Cricetulus griseus: one gene and its partners. The protein of the gene in region 1 interacts with the protein of each later gene in a pairwise test. Links are inferred from orthologs where the notes say so. Each region holds a gene or a part of one and is shown on either strand. Other genes may lie near its edges.

What was found. The genes of interacting proteins can lie anywhere in the genome.
Region 2: the proteins of Tnfaip3 (region 1) and Tax1bp1 interact in binary tests that used the Homo sapiens proteins (3 or more experiments, as listed by UniProt). The link is inferred for Cricetulus griseus from reciprocal best matches to the Homo sapiens genes TNFAIP3 and TAX1BP1.
Region 3: the proteins of Tnfaip3 (region 1) and Ywhab interact in a two-hybrid assay, tested with the Homo sapiens proteins (2 studies listed by BioGRID). The link is inferred for Cricetulus griseus from reciprocal best matches to the Homo sapiens genes TNFAIP3 and YWHAB.

What each region holds. Positions count from the first base shown.
Region 1 is NC_048595.1:270,723,891-270,727,943, forward strand, and holds the start of Tnfaip3 (tumor necrosis factor alpha-induced protein 3), read left to right. Parts: upstream 1-1,253; 5' UTR 1,254-1,490; coding exon 1,491-1,899; intron 1,900-4,053. UniProt on the Homo sapiens protein: Ubiquitin-editing enzyme that contains both ubiquitin ligase and deubiquitinase activities.
Region 2 is NC_048601.1:88,623,842-88,627,797, reverse strand, and holds the start of Tax1bp1 (tax1-binding protein 1), read left to right. Parts: upstream 1-1,156; 5' UTR 1,157-1,290; intron 1,291-1,726; exon of another isoform or gene 1,727-1,878; intron 1,879-3,956.
Region 3 is NC_048599.1:15,522,307-15,526,340, reverse strand, and holds the start of Ywhab (14-3-3 protein beta/alpha), read left to right. Parts: upstream 1-1,234; 5' UTR 1,235-1,368; intron 1,369-4,034. UniProt on the Homo sapiens protein: Adapter protein implicated in the regulation of a large spectrum of both general and specialized signaling pathways. Binds to a large number of partners, usually by recognition of a phosphoserine or phosphothreonine motif.

The DNA.
Region 1 (4,053 bases):
TGGATGGATGGATGGATGGATGGATGGATGGAGTAATGACAACATGAAAGAGATCCTTGCTACATCACCAAGGAGATGTAAATGTGATATTTATAGTTTTATCTCATCCCTACAGTGTTTTTGCCTAATTCCAGTTGCAAGAAATAACTGGCATCACACAAGAGAATGAGTTCTAGGCCTTAGCTAGCATTTAGATTAAGAATTCTAATGCAAATCCCTAGTAACAACCCTCTCTTTCAAGCTAGGCACAAAAATTTAGACCATTTTATCAGGCATAAGAGAATCTGGACCCACACGGGAGTGGCTTCTCTAATCTCTAGCTTTCTTCTTCTTGCATAGTCACCACACCGTTTTTTACCTGGTGGGTTTGCCTTGGCAGATAGCATGATGCCTGATGGAATTAAGCTTCACCATGAAACTCTTTAGGTGCTCTATGCCATTGTTGTCGTCTAGGAAATCAGGTTGTGTGGCCAAGTACCCTATTAAGGGTCCATGGGGACAGTGAAGCAGAACTGGCTCAGCATTGCTCCACTCTGGAAGGATGTCCCTGTGCATCAGTACACAGCCTTGCACAACTGGCTTGAGTAGTCATGTGGCTACTCATCATTGTCCTGAGTGGCAGCCTGGCCAAGATGCTTTTCCTATTTGCTTCTATATTTCATTTTCTCCATCGTTGCTTGTGCTTGGTCTTCTAGGTGAAGGATGAGGAAGGGGCGGTGTCTTAGGCATTGGTACCTGCATGTCAGCAATAAGAGTTTGTTGTCAGTTGAGTTGAAATCACGGGGCAATCTGGTGTCTTGTTTTTTCTGGGAGGTGTGGTGTACCTCATTATTACTCTGCTTTTTTGTCTCATGTTATGAAGTTCAGTGGCAGGGCTCTGAAGTAGAGCTGACATTTGCTCTTAAGATTGCAAAGCATCTTGCCAAAAAAGGCTTTATTTTGTTGTTAGTTATAAAACAATCTGGTGTTGACTCTTTATAAATATCATAAACTCCTGAACCAAGTATGTATTACTTTTCTTTGGGGGCCAGTACCATAGAGGAAATACCAGGCAGCAGCTAAATGCCACATGGGATTTCCATCAAATATTTGCTGCCTTTGTAGCATCAAGTAGGGGATGTTTGAGTGACCTGGATCTAGGTTCTGCTCAAGAGCAAGGACAGAATGGTGGTGGTCTTAGGTGGTGGACTTAGGACTCTGGTGAGCACTGTACTGACATTCAGAGGTCCTGGGTGACATCCAATGGATCTAAGGTTGGCTTTGTGGAGCAGGACCTGTCACTGACAGACAGACTTGGCTCCCTGACAAACTACTGAAAGCATGGGTTATTCCCCTCCTCCTCATTACCCACGCTCCGCCTCCCTTCTCTTGTTTAGACTAATCTTTAAAAGTGATGTAACTTAAAACAGTCCAGTGTGAGTTAATCTGCAGGGCCAGCTAGTATCCTAGGAGTAGAGGTGACTAAGATCTTTTACCTACAGATTAGAATAATGACAAGATCAAACACTGGGGTTTCTTGCCGACAGGTACATGGGAACAATGTTCAAGGCAGGCTAACGGAACGGGCTTTTCCCCTTCCTCTTCAGGCCTTGTTGAGGAGAACCATGGCTGAACAACTCCTTCCTCAGGCTTTGTACTTGAGCAATATGAGGAAAGCTGTGAAGATAAGAGAGAGAACTCCAGAAGATATTTTCAAACCTACCAATGGGATCATTCATCATTTTAAAACCATGCACCGATACACACTGGAGATGTTCAGAATGTGTCAGTTTTGCCCACAGTTTCGGGAGACCATCCACAAGGCACTCATTGACAGAAGCGTCCAGGCTTCCTTGGAAAACCAGAAGAAGCTCAATTGGTGTCGAGAAGTCCGGAAGCTCGTGGCTCTGAAAACCAATGGTAAGGCTTGTTCTTTTCTCCCAGCACCCTTCTACTGACCTGGGGGCGGGGGGGGGGGAGGTGTTTCTGCTAATGCTTCTCCATGAAGTTTTAATGCCATTAAGCAGACACCTATAGAAAGACCCTCCATAAGGGAAAGGTGATGGTCATGAATGTATTTGAGTCTGCTGCTGGGACAGGATTTCATTGTATAACTCAGGCTGGTTTTGGACTTGTGATCTTTCTGCTTCCAACTTCCGAGTGCTGGAATGGCAAGTGTGCATCTTTATATCCAGTTGGTGAATATTTCTATTTAAGGTGTTTTTAAGGTGTTTTCTGAGAGAGAGAGGGAGAGAGAGAGAGAGAGAGGGAGAGAGAGAAAGAGAGAGAGAGAGAGAGAAAGAGAGAGAGAGAGAGAGAGAGAGAGAGAGAGAGAGAGAGAGAGTTACAGTATAGAGGACATGAAGACTTGTGGAATGCATTTCTAAACCCCATTGCCCCAGTTGGGAGATTAATCTTCCTAATGCTTACATTGGCCAAATCATCTATAACCTTCACTGGCCAGAATGGAAAGGATTTAAAAGGTTTTAAGTTCAAAAGGAAAGTAGAACACTGAGAACCAGTGTCACAGTTGTTTGCCGCTGTCATTAGAAAAAACGCTTATGATGCTCTTGCTCTTCCTGAGTTGATGGCATTTTCTAGACTTGCAAACAAGTGGGTGTTAAGGACAGGGGATGCTTTTGTTTCTACTTCTCTCACCTAGGTTCTGTTGCCTAAGATAATGAGAGACAGAACTTCTCTACACACTGCTCTTGGCATTCAATCAACTGAAGTCCTTTACCTCTGATAACTCTTTTCTATGTCAAGTTTTACTGTCTTGTATTTTTTTTCCAAATCACATCCTTTGAGAAAGATTATGTACATGGTGCAGAAACAGCCAATGATATTGTTTCATGCAGTTACAGAAATTCTGCCTTTAGGGCATAGACATTTATTATAAGAATGGAGATTGTGTGAGATCAATTAAATACTTACAGTGTTGGTAAGAGTACAATCTCATTTTCTTGTATCAGTAACTGCATTCTGTGGGTCAAAATAATACATCCAAGAGGAGAAAATCCCTGTTGGCAATGATGGTGCTAGGAACGTTAACTTAATAACTTAATTGGTACATTAACTTCGGCTGTTCTTGACTTGAGTAACTTGGTGATGGGTTGATGTGGGCTTTTGTTTGTTTTGATTCCGGGGACTCTTGTATATCACCTCTACATCTTCCCTATATTTATGAAGCTTAGACTCTTAGAAATAGAGTCAAAAGAAAACTGGAGACAGTGATTATCTACATTGTTCTTGGCATTAAGTCAAGTGATGCCTCGAAGTAGATAATTATGTTAACTTGTCATCAAGGGGCTTATATACCTGACAGTTTGTGGTTTTCACCATGTCCCATTCTGTTACCGAAAGAGAGATGGAGTTGAGAGAATTAGAAATGGGATAGAGAAAGAAAAGCCTTATCTTGCTTACCATTCAGAATACTAGCAGACATTATATAGTATTTCCTTAACAGAGGAAATATCTGATTTCCTGGAGGAGAAAAAAAGCAATATAAATGCTAAACATTTCCTTTGCCATTTAAATCAAAAAGGGTTCATGCTACTGCTAAAACTACAAAAGCAAAGGCATTTTGGTAACATGTTGGGAAAATGTGGATTTGGGGTCCCAGAATCCTAAATTTTCTGCTTTGAAGAAAAGTTCTTAAAGTTATGCAAAAGAAAGAAAAGACCTTTGGGCGGGGGTGGGGGTGGGGTGGTGGTGGCAAGTGGCTTTCTTAGCATCTTTTCTTTCCTTTTACAAACCTGGCCCCTTTGGAAGGTTCCTTCACAGGCGGTCTATTTGGGGAGGGGGTGATTCAGGAGTCTGCATTTGAGGATATGAGACTGTGGTGAATGAGGAAGGGAGTAGGTGGCATAAAATTGAAACTTCATGAAAATTCCAGCGTCTATTGGCTGTGGCAATTTCACTTGTATAGTGAGTAGCCGGGTTCCAGCTCAGCCTGACCACACCCACTTGGAAAGTCCAGGGTGCAGTTCGCAGTTTAAATGTCTACACACCAGAACAAAACGTACAACAACTGTTGCTCAATTGCTAGTCAAATATCTTCGCACTGGGGAATTC
Region 2 (3,956 bases), on another chromosome or scaffold:
TCGATGCTGCAAATGGGCTCTCCCTCTCTCTCTCCCTCCCTCCCTCCCTCCCTCCCTCCCTCCCTCCCTCCCTCTCTCTCTCTCTCTCTCTCTCTCTCTCTCTCTCTCTCTCTCTCACACACACACACACACACACACAAGTACTAATTACTCCAGGGCATTTTCCCATGGTTGCACTAAAATGCAGGGTGGGAAGCCTCAAAAGACCTCAGTTTCATACTATTATTAACATTGTGGTTTTAACCCATTTCCTTTGTGGGTTTTGCTAGAGCAGCATAGGAAGAAATAGAAGACTTGGTTAATCATGATGTGGAAGCGAAAATAATTTAAATTTAAATTTCTAAATTTACTTTGACCTACATAGATTACCTTTCTCTGTTAAATGTTCAGTTTCAATTGGAACCCCACATAAGCAAGTGTATTCTATCCGGATTCATAATGTTCCTGTGTGGGAATATTATTTACCTTACCTCATGAATACAGTACCCACAGCATTCATAAATACTTCTTTAAAACCCACAATGCTGAACCCAAAGTACTGCTCTCTCCCTTTGGAATACTTTTGCTAAATAACTTTTGCTTCAACTGCCTATGTCTCAACAGATTGTTTCCTTTTGGAGGACAAGCATGGAGAGGCCCCTGTAAAATTCCTGCCGTCAGTGATTTCAATACATAAGAAACAAATGAGTCAGCAAATATTAAGGCCCTTTCTCATGGAGGCCAAGTGGACTTGAATTATGTGGAAAATGAACATGAAGGCAGATTTTATGTGTTGTTGCTGTAATGTTTAATCTGTTACCTCTTCTTCGCTGGTGATGCTGTAAGTGTCATCAGTTTTATGGCAACACAGGAACGTGATGGTTGAGCCCCTGGTCTCTCCAATAGTTCTTGGGGGTTCTCTAGACATTTAAACAGATGTATTGACACAAACTGATATTTAAGACCCAGGTCGCCTCTGGGCGATCCTTCCCACCTCGCCGGCAAGTTAATTAACTTGTCTTAAGCGGCCTGTGTTTTGGGGTAACTACTACATCACTGAGCGAAAGCCCCAGAAGACAAGCAAGCTGTCAGGAGGAAATCCACCAAGAACTCCCCTCCGCCCCCCCCGCAGCGGGCGAATAGGGCGTGTCGTCACGGAGCATGCGCAGAGACGGTGGCGGAAACGGGCGTTCCTAGGGCGGAAGTGACGCGACGCCGGCTTGGGGCTCAGAGGCGGAGTTGCCGGTCCGTGGTGGCGGAGCTCCGGGGCTCCGGAGCGCGGCGGAGCGCGGCGGGCGGAGGCCCTGACGGGTGAGGCCTGCGTCTGGGCCGCGTGCCTGGCGGGGGGCCCGGCGCTCGCGCCCCGTCTCGGCCCTGGAACCTGGGCCTGGCGCGTGTTGGTACCGTCTCCGTGGTGACGGAGCGCTCCTTCCCAAGGACAGGTTTCCCCGGGCCGCGATTGTGACGTGTGCGTGGGCCCGAGTGGCCAGGAGACGGGGAGGCGCGGCGGAGGCGGGCGAGCTAGGCCGCGGCGAACCGGGGTCTGCCGGGCAGGAGGCCGGTGGGGAGCGCCCAGGGTGGCCGACGCCAGGCCGCGGCGAGCCGGGGAGGACCCAGCCGGAGCCTGGACGCACTGTTTTGGTTTGAGTGGCTTCTGGAGGAAGAGGCGGGGACGCCCTGCTCCGCCTCGTTCTGTGTTTACGCGTTTTGGCCTGATCTCTGGCTTCACCTGGGCGAAGAGATTAATTAAGTCTTGGGGTTTGGAAAGCCGCCCTCCCCACAGATAAGGCTTTACGAAATCTTGGGCAGGGTGACTTCGCTCTTAGGCTGTCTGGACTGCTTTCACGGCTCCGCCTCCCTCTCCCGACCCCTGGGCGACGCTGCCCTGTGTTTGGACAGGTACGAAGGTGGTGCCGGGCAGGTCTGTGCTGTTAGGACTTAGCTGGCGTGGACGCCTGTATTTCTCTACTGAGAAATACGAAGGACAGTTTGTTCCTCAAGAGTTTTGTTGGAAAACGCGGTGGCATTTGACTGCGATACATTTCCGGCTCTAGAGCTGCAAGTTAGTAGTGTGTTAGAAACTTAGGTGGAAAAGTTTTCATCGCTGCTTCCCGCCAGCGGTGAAATTTCGTGATCAGTACAGGAACAGATACTAATTAATCTTTTAGGGTTCAACCCAAGAACATTTGAAAAAGATTATTTGAATAACATTTGTTAAAGTGGGCTGGTTGTGGGCTTAGGAGCTTTAAGGTGCTCTCCAGGTGTGGAGACGAGGCTGAGGCCAAGCGCTGGCCTCCATTCTGATCTCTGTGTCCTTCCCGAATGTTAGGGTTACAGGCAAACAGCACCACCTTGGACTTATAAGTTATATGATTTCTACAAGAATATATTTGACTATGCTGGAAATGACTTGTTAACTACTACCCCCACCCTGCCCATCCTCTGTTAAATTTCAAACAAAGTCGTTTTCAAATTGTTACATTAGTTGCATACTGTTTGCTTTTACGATTGTAGCCATGTATGTGAAATTTAACCAGTGAATGCATTTTCTAGGACAAAATAACATCCTTGCATTATTAGTTGCAATTTTTAAAGAGTGCTGTTTAAAAATAATTATTTAGGCTTATTTTATGAGTGTTTTGCCTGCATCTGTATATGTGCATCATGTGTATGCCTGGTGGCCACAAGTCAGAAGAGGGTGTCAGATCCCCCTGGACTAGAGTGATGGATGGTTGTGAACTACCATGTAGGTGCTGGGCACCGAACCAGGGTCCTCTGCAAGAGCAAAAAGTGCTCTTTACTGAGCCATCTCTCCAGCCCCTAGGATGCTAAGTTTTTATGCTTGATCCTATCTATACATTTTTATTTATATACATTTGCACTATACAGGTAAGGAATTATCTGTAAAGTTTATTTTGACTTATATATTGCCAAGGTCTCACTGTGTAGTCCTCGCTGTCCAGGAACTCTTCATGTAGACCAGGCTGGCCTTGAACTCAGATCAGCCTGCCTCTACTGGCCTTCTGAGTGTTGGTATTGAAGGTGTTTGCCATCAAGCCCAGCCTCACCTGTAAGGTTTATTAGATTGTTTTCTTTTGGAATGTCTGTTAGTATCTAAAATTTGGGCTTTATGTACTTATGACTCTAAAGTTTACACTTTTCAATGAGCCTTCAAAATTACAAATTTCCTGTTCTATATACCTGTGGGCCAAGAGCATAGTATTTTAGAAACGAATTTATGAAAAGTTAAATCAGGCCTGATGTTTTATCACCTGGGATTCTAGCGCTTGGGAGGCTTAGTTGGATGTGTGTGTGAGTGTGTGTGTGTGTGTGTGTGTGTGTGTGTGTGTATGTGTGTATGTGTGTATGTGTATGTGTATGTGTGTGGGCGGGGTGTCATATGCTTGAGGCCAGCCTGGACTATAGTACATAGAGCCTTTCTCAACAGAGAAAACAAGTACAACTGGGTGGCAGCTGGGCAGAATGTAGGAATACTCAGCTGTGAAAGCACTGGAGATAAAGATGTCTTCAGCAATGCAAATTAACAAGGTCTTTGTTTCAGCCTCCTAGAAAGTTGACTGATAACATCTTTCTGAGAGTATGGTATTCTACAAACTAGGCAAAGGAGCTGAAGAATGAGTAAGGGAACTACCAGGCTATTTTTATCCCCATGAAGATGTATGTATGTATGTATGTATGTATGTATGTATGTATGTATGTTATTTTTGAGACAGGGTCTTGCTATGTATGTAGCCTTGGCTGTCTGGAAGTTAACTATGTAGGCCAGGCCTCCTAAAACTCAGATCTGCCTGCCTCTATTTCCCAAGTGCTGGAAATAGGTCCTATTTTTGTAACTGAAGATTTTTAAAAACATTGGCTGTCAACCATTATCTTAATTATGGTACTTTGCAAGGGTACAAAGTGTTCATGCAGTGTTTTCTGTTGAAGACACACAGACACGGGGCTTTTTATTGCCA
Region 3 (4,034 bases), on another chromosome or scaffold:
AATCTCAAACTGTTTATAAATACTGAGAAAGTACATTGGGAGAATAGGGAGCTCCATAAATGAATTGGGGTGCTGACAACCACTAAGGGCAGCTTCTGGGGAGTTCTGATAGTCTTACTCATAGAACTATATGCCTGAGTCTGTAGTTCTGGACACACAGAATGGCAATGAAAAAAGATCACTTGGCATTTGGTGGGGGCAGGGCTCTGAGTCAAGTGGTGAATTATAAATCTATCATTAAGCTACGTAAGGGAGAAATGACAAAGGTCTATTTGTTCTTTCTCCGAAGAACTGTAAGCTTCAAGACAGCAGGGCAACCGTCTGTCTTGTCCCTTGCTGTATTTTCCAGCGTTCAGAAAGCTGCCACACAGAATTTGTGAAAAGTGAAGGAGTGGTGATAGAGGTATTTTGAAGGGCTAGATTTAAGGGTCAACGGGAGTATTAACAATCTCAAGTAACAGTGAAAACCGTCTGGAGAGCCCCGGATTCCTGTCTTTGAGGCTTTCCTATAAATGATACTTGGGGACCAGGGAATCTCAGTGAAGAATGCATATACAGAGGGTGGTTTTGTTTTTTGTTTTTTGTTTTTCTTAAGACCTTGAGAGTGTTCTGTTCCTGACACTTCACGTAGCTTCCTGGGTCTAGGAGAGGAACAGTAAGTACCTTTTAGGCCTGAAATAGGAATTACTGAAAAAGTAGGGCTGAGCCATTTCTGTTCTCCTTTGGTTACAAGCATTCCCTTAGCGCACAGCTAACAGGACTGAGGGCCTCCGATTCCGTGAGGATTATTTTCAGGGTGGGGTGGGAACATATGACCCCCGAACCTGGACCAAGAACGCTCCGAGCTTCCGAACCCTCCCTCCGGGAGCCCGCCCTGTTCTCACACATCCCAGCCTTCGGGCGGTCACCTCAGCTCCGCCCTCTCTCCTTTCTCCTCTTCCTGCTCCCCACCCCACTTCCTTTCCCCGCGTCCGCCCCCACCTCGCTCCCACCCAGGCCCTGCGCCCTCCCACGACCGCTCCCTCTAGGCTCTCCGTGACTTCCCCTCCTCCGGCTATCACCGCCCTTTTCGGGAGGACGGGGCAACCCCGTGCCTCGCTCACCCAATGAGGAGCCGGCTCAGGGTGGGGCGGGACTTGGGCTAGAGCGGAAGTGGTGGCCGGAGCGGAAGTGCAGCTGCCGCCACCGCCGCCGCCGCCGCCGATTCCTGAGCCGGGTAGCCGCTGCCGCCGCCGCCACTGCAGCTCCGGTCGCCGCCACCGCCGCTGCCGCCGCTGCTGCCGCCGTCTGAGGAGTGGGCCTGGGGAAGACGCAGTCGCCGCCCTCCGAGCTTCCCGGAAGCGCCTTTGCTCGCTACAGTCCTCCACGGTGAGTGCGGCGCGGCTCCCAGGGGCCCCAGCGCGGAGCCCCTTCTCGGGCGGCGGCCGCGGCCCGTCTCGCCACCGCCCCTCCCCGCTTCCGGCCGGGCCTGCGCCTCCGCGGGAAGCCCGGGCTTCTCTCTCGGCGGGCCGCACGGGGTGCGGCTGGGGACGGCTGGGCCGCGGGCTCCCCTCGGCACCTCCTCTGCTCGGCGCCGCCCCTGCCTGCTCCCCCCGGGCCCGGAGCCTTCCCTCTGGGCCTGTCAACCTCGCTCCTTTGTGGCTTTCAAAAACTGAAAGGTAGCGGAAGGCGAGCGAGTCCCTGCTGCACTCCCCTGGATGAGCAAGGGTTTAACCTTGGCGACAGCTGGGGCGAATCCCTCTCCCACTCTGCAGTAGAGCTGTTTCATCATCGCCGGTGTGGGAAACCCGGCTGGACCCGAGATTCTCTTGACAGCGGGGTTGAGGTTTGAATCAAGAAATGGATTTGTGGGAATCGTTTTACTGACTCAAACCGGATTCCCAAAGGGGTGGGGGGAGATCAGGCTGAGAATTGAGGCTTCTCATGATATTTGTCGTCATTTACTGCCTTAATCTCGTGTGTCTGCGCCCCAAATTCCTCCAAACACCTTTTTTTTTTTTTTTTGGCTTATTTTGTGTTTTACTGCTTGGAATTTGTCTGTTAGTGGGGAAGGAGTGGGCGGGATGTGGACCCTTTCTTTCCAAGATGAGCGCATCTGGGTCTATTGCAAATGGAGAACCTGCGTGCAGGGCGGATTCCAAAGGTGGCAGCCTTGCTGAGAATTTGCCAGTCTCTCTGTAAAATAAGTCTTGTCCTTGCCTTCAGTACATTCCCTTTGGTGAGACCAGATAGTATTCCACTCTTGCTTTTACTTGTCTGATGTGGGAGGGGCAATCTGTAAGATGTTATGAGTCTGTAATGTCACAGGAGCCAATGCAGAAAGCTGCAACACTAAGGAGAATGTGAAAATTACATTTCTCACCATATCTCAAGTGTTTCTGTGAAACCACACATAACAGTTTATAGGCCTGAACACGAGGTTACTCAGCGTTTTACATTTAGCTGCTGGGAATTTATAGAATATTAACTTGATTTTTTGGTGGATTTCTTCTTGACTGCCTCCATCCAGCGGACCTCATTTCTTAGGGTTGTCCGAGGTTTTTTCTTTTTCTTTTTTATTCATATATTTTTTTTTTTAAAGATCGACGGCCATGGCAGCATACAGATGGAGAATATTGGGTTGTTGTTGTTGTTGTTTTTCTTTCTTTCTTCATCCAAGTTAGAATTTTAAGCATGACCTTAGAAATCGAAGACTGAAAATCCACTACCAACTGCTGAATTATTTTCCTAACCTCTGCCTTCAAACATGATAAGAAACCATTCACCCATCTTACAAATGAAGTCTTCATGAGAAATGAGGTGATTTGGCCTAAACCACACACCTACTTTCAGACTGAATATGCTCTTTCATCTATGGCAAGTATTTATGGACTGCCAGCCCCTGGAGTATGGCTCTTACCCTGTTAATCTTCTGTACGTTTCCCATGATGCAGTGCTTGTGTTACGTTGAAGCCATTTTAGACTTGGAGCTGTATGGATCAGGGAGGCAGCCTGTGTGAAACCAGGCCGAGCATATTCCCTTGGTGCTTGTTCCCTAGGCAAGGGTCTCCAGAGATTTGGGTTGCTGCAAAAAGTGCATTTTTCCCACTTGGCTGTGGATCCAAAAACAGCACTGAAGATGACGTTAGGTAAATTTGATTCAGTTCTTTCTCTGTACTGTTTTCTGGCAGTGATCATCAGAAGTTAATTATCTCTGCTTCTTAGTTTCCCTATCTCCACAGTTATAAACTGTAAGTTGTTAAGTATAAACCTTTGATTTTGTTGTATTTTAATGGTTGAGTTCACATTCTTCTTTCTCCCTTTCTGATAAGACACAGTCTTGTTCTGTCCACTTGCTATTGAAAAATGATATATTATGTAACTGTACATGTAGCAAGTCCAGTTTTTCTCATCTGGACCATACATATGATAACGGTATTCCCTCTTTCCCACCTTTATGCTGTGTAGCCCTGCCTAATCTCAAACTCACTGCTTTAGGCTTCTTCTGACTCTTAGGTGCTGGGATTACAGGTAAGCACCTCTGTGCTGGGCTGGCAACATAACTTTTGATGTGTGGTGGCAGACTGAATCAAAATAAGCTTCTGGACCGGGTGGTCTACAGGAGCTTGTTCCAGGACAGCCTCCAAAGCCACAGAGAAACCCTGTCTCAAAAAACAAAAGCAAAACTAAACAAAAAAGCTTCTGGAATGTAGATTTTCTTAATACAAATAAAATTATTTTAAAAAAATAATTGAATATAAATGAATATATGCCACGGTGTTTAAATATGTAAAATAGTTGTATAAGTTGTGGGATCTTTAAATAGCCTATCTCCTCAGACATGATTTTTTTGGTTTTTCAAGACAGAGTTTCTCTGTATAACAGCCCTGGAACACACTGTAGACCAGGCTGGCCTGGAACTCATAGAGATCTGCCTGCCTCTGCTTCCCGAATGCTGGGATTAAAGATGTGCACCACCACTGCCTGGCCAGACATGATTTCTTTTTGTTGACGAATAAAGTCTTTTCTTCTAGCCCATTGAGAAATACAGACAC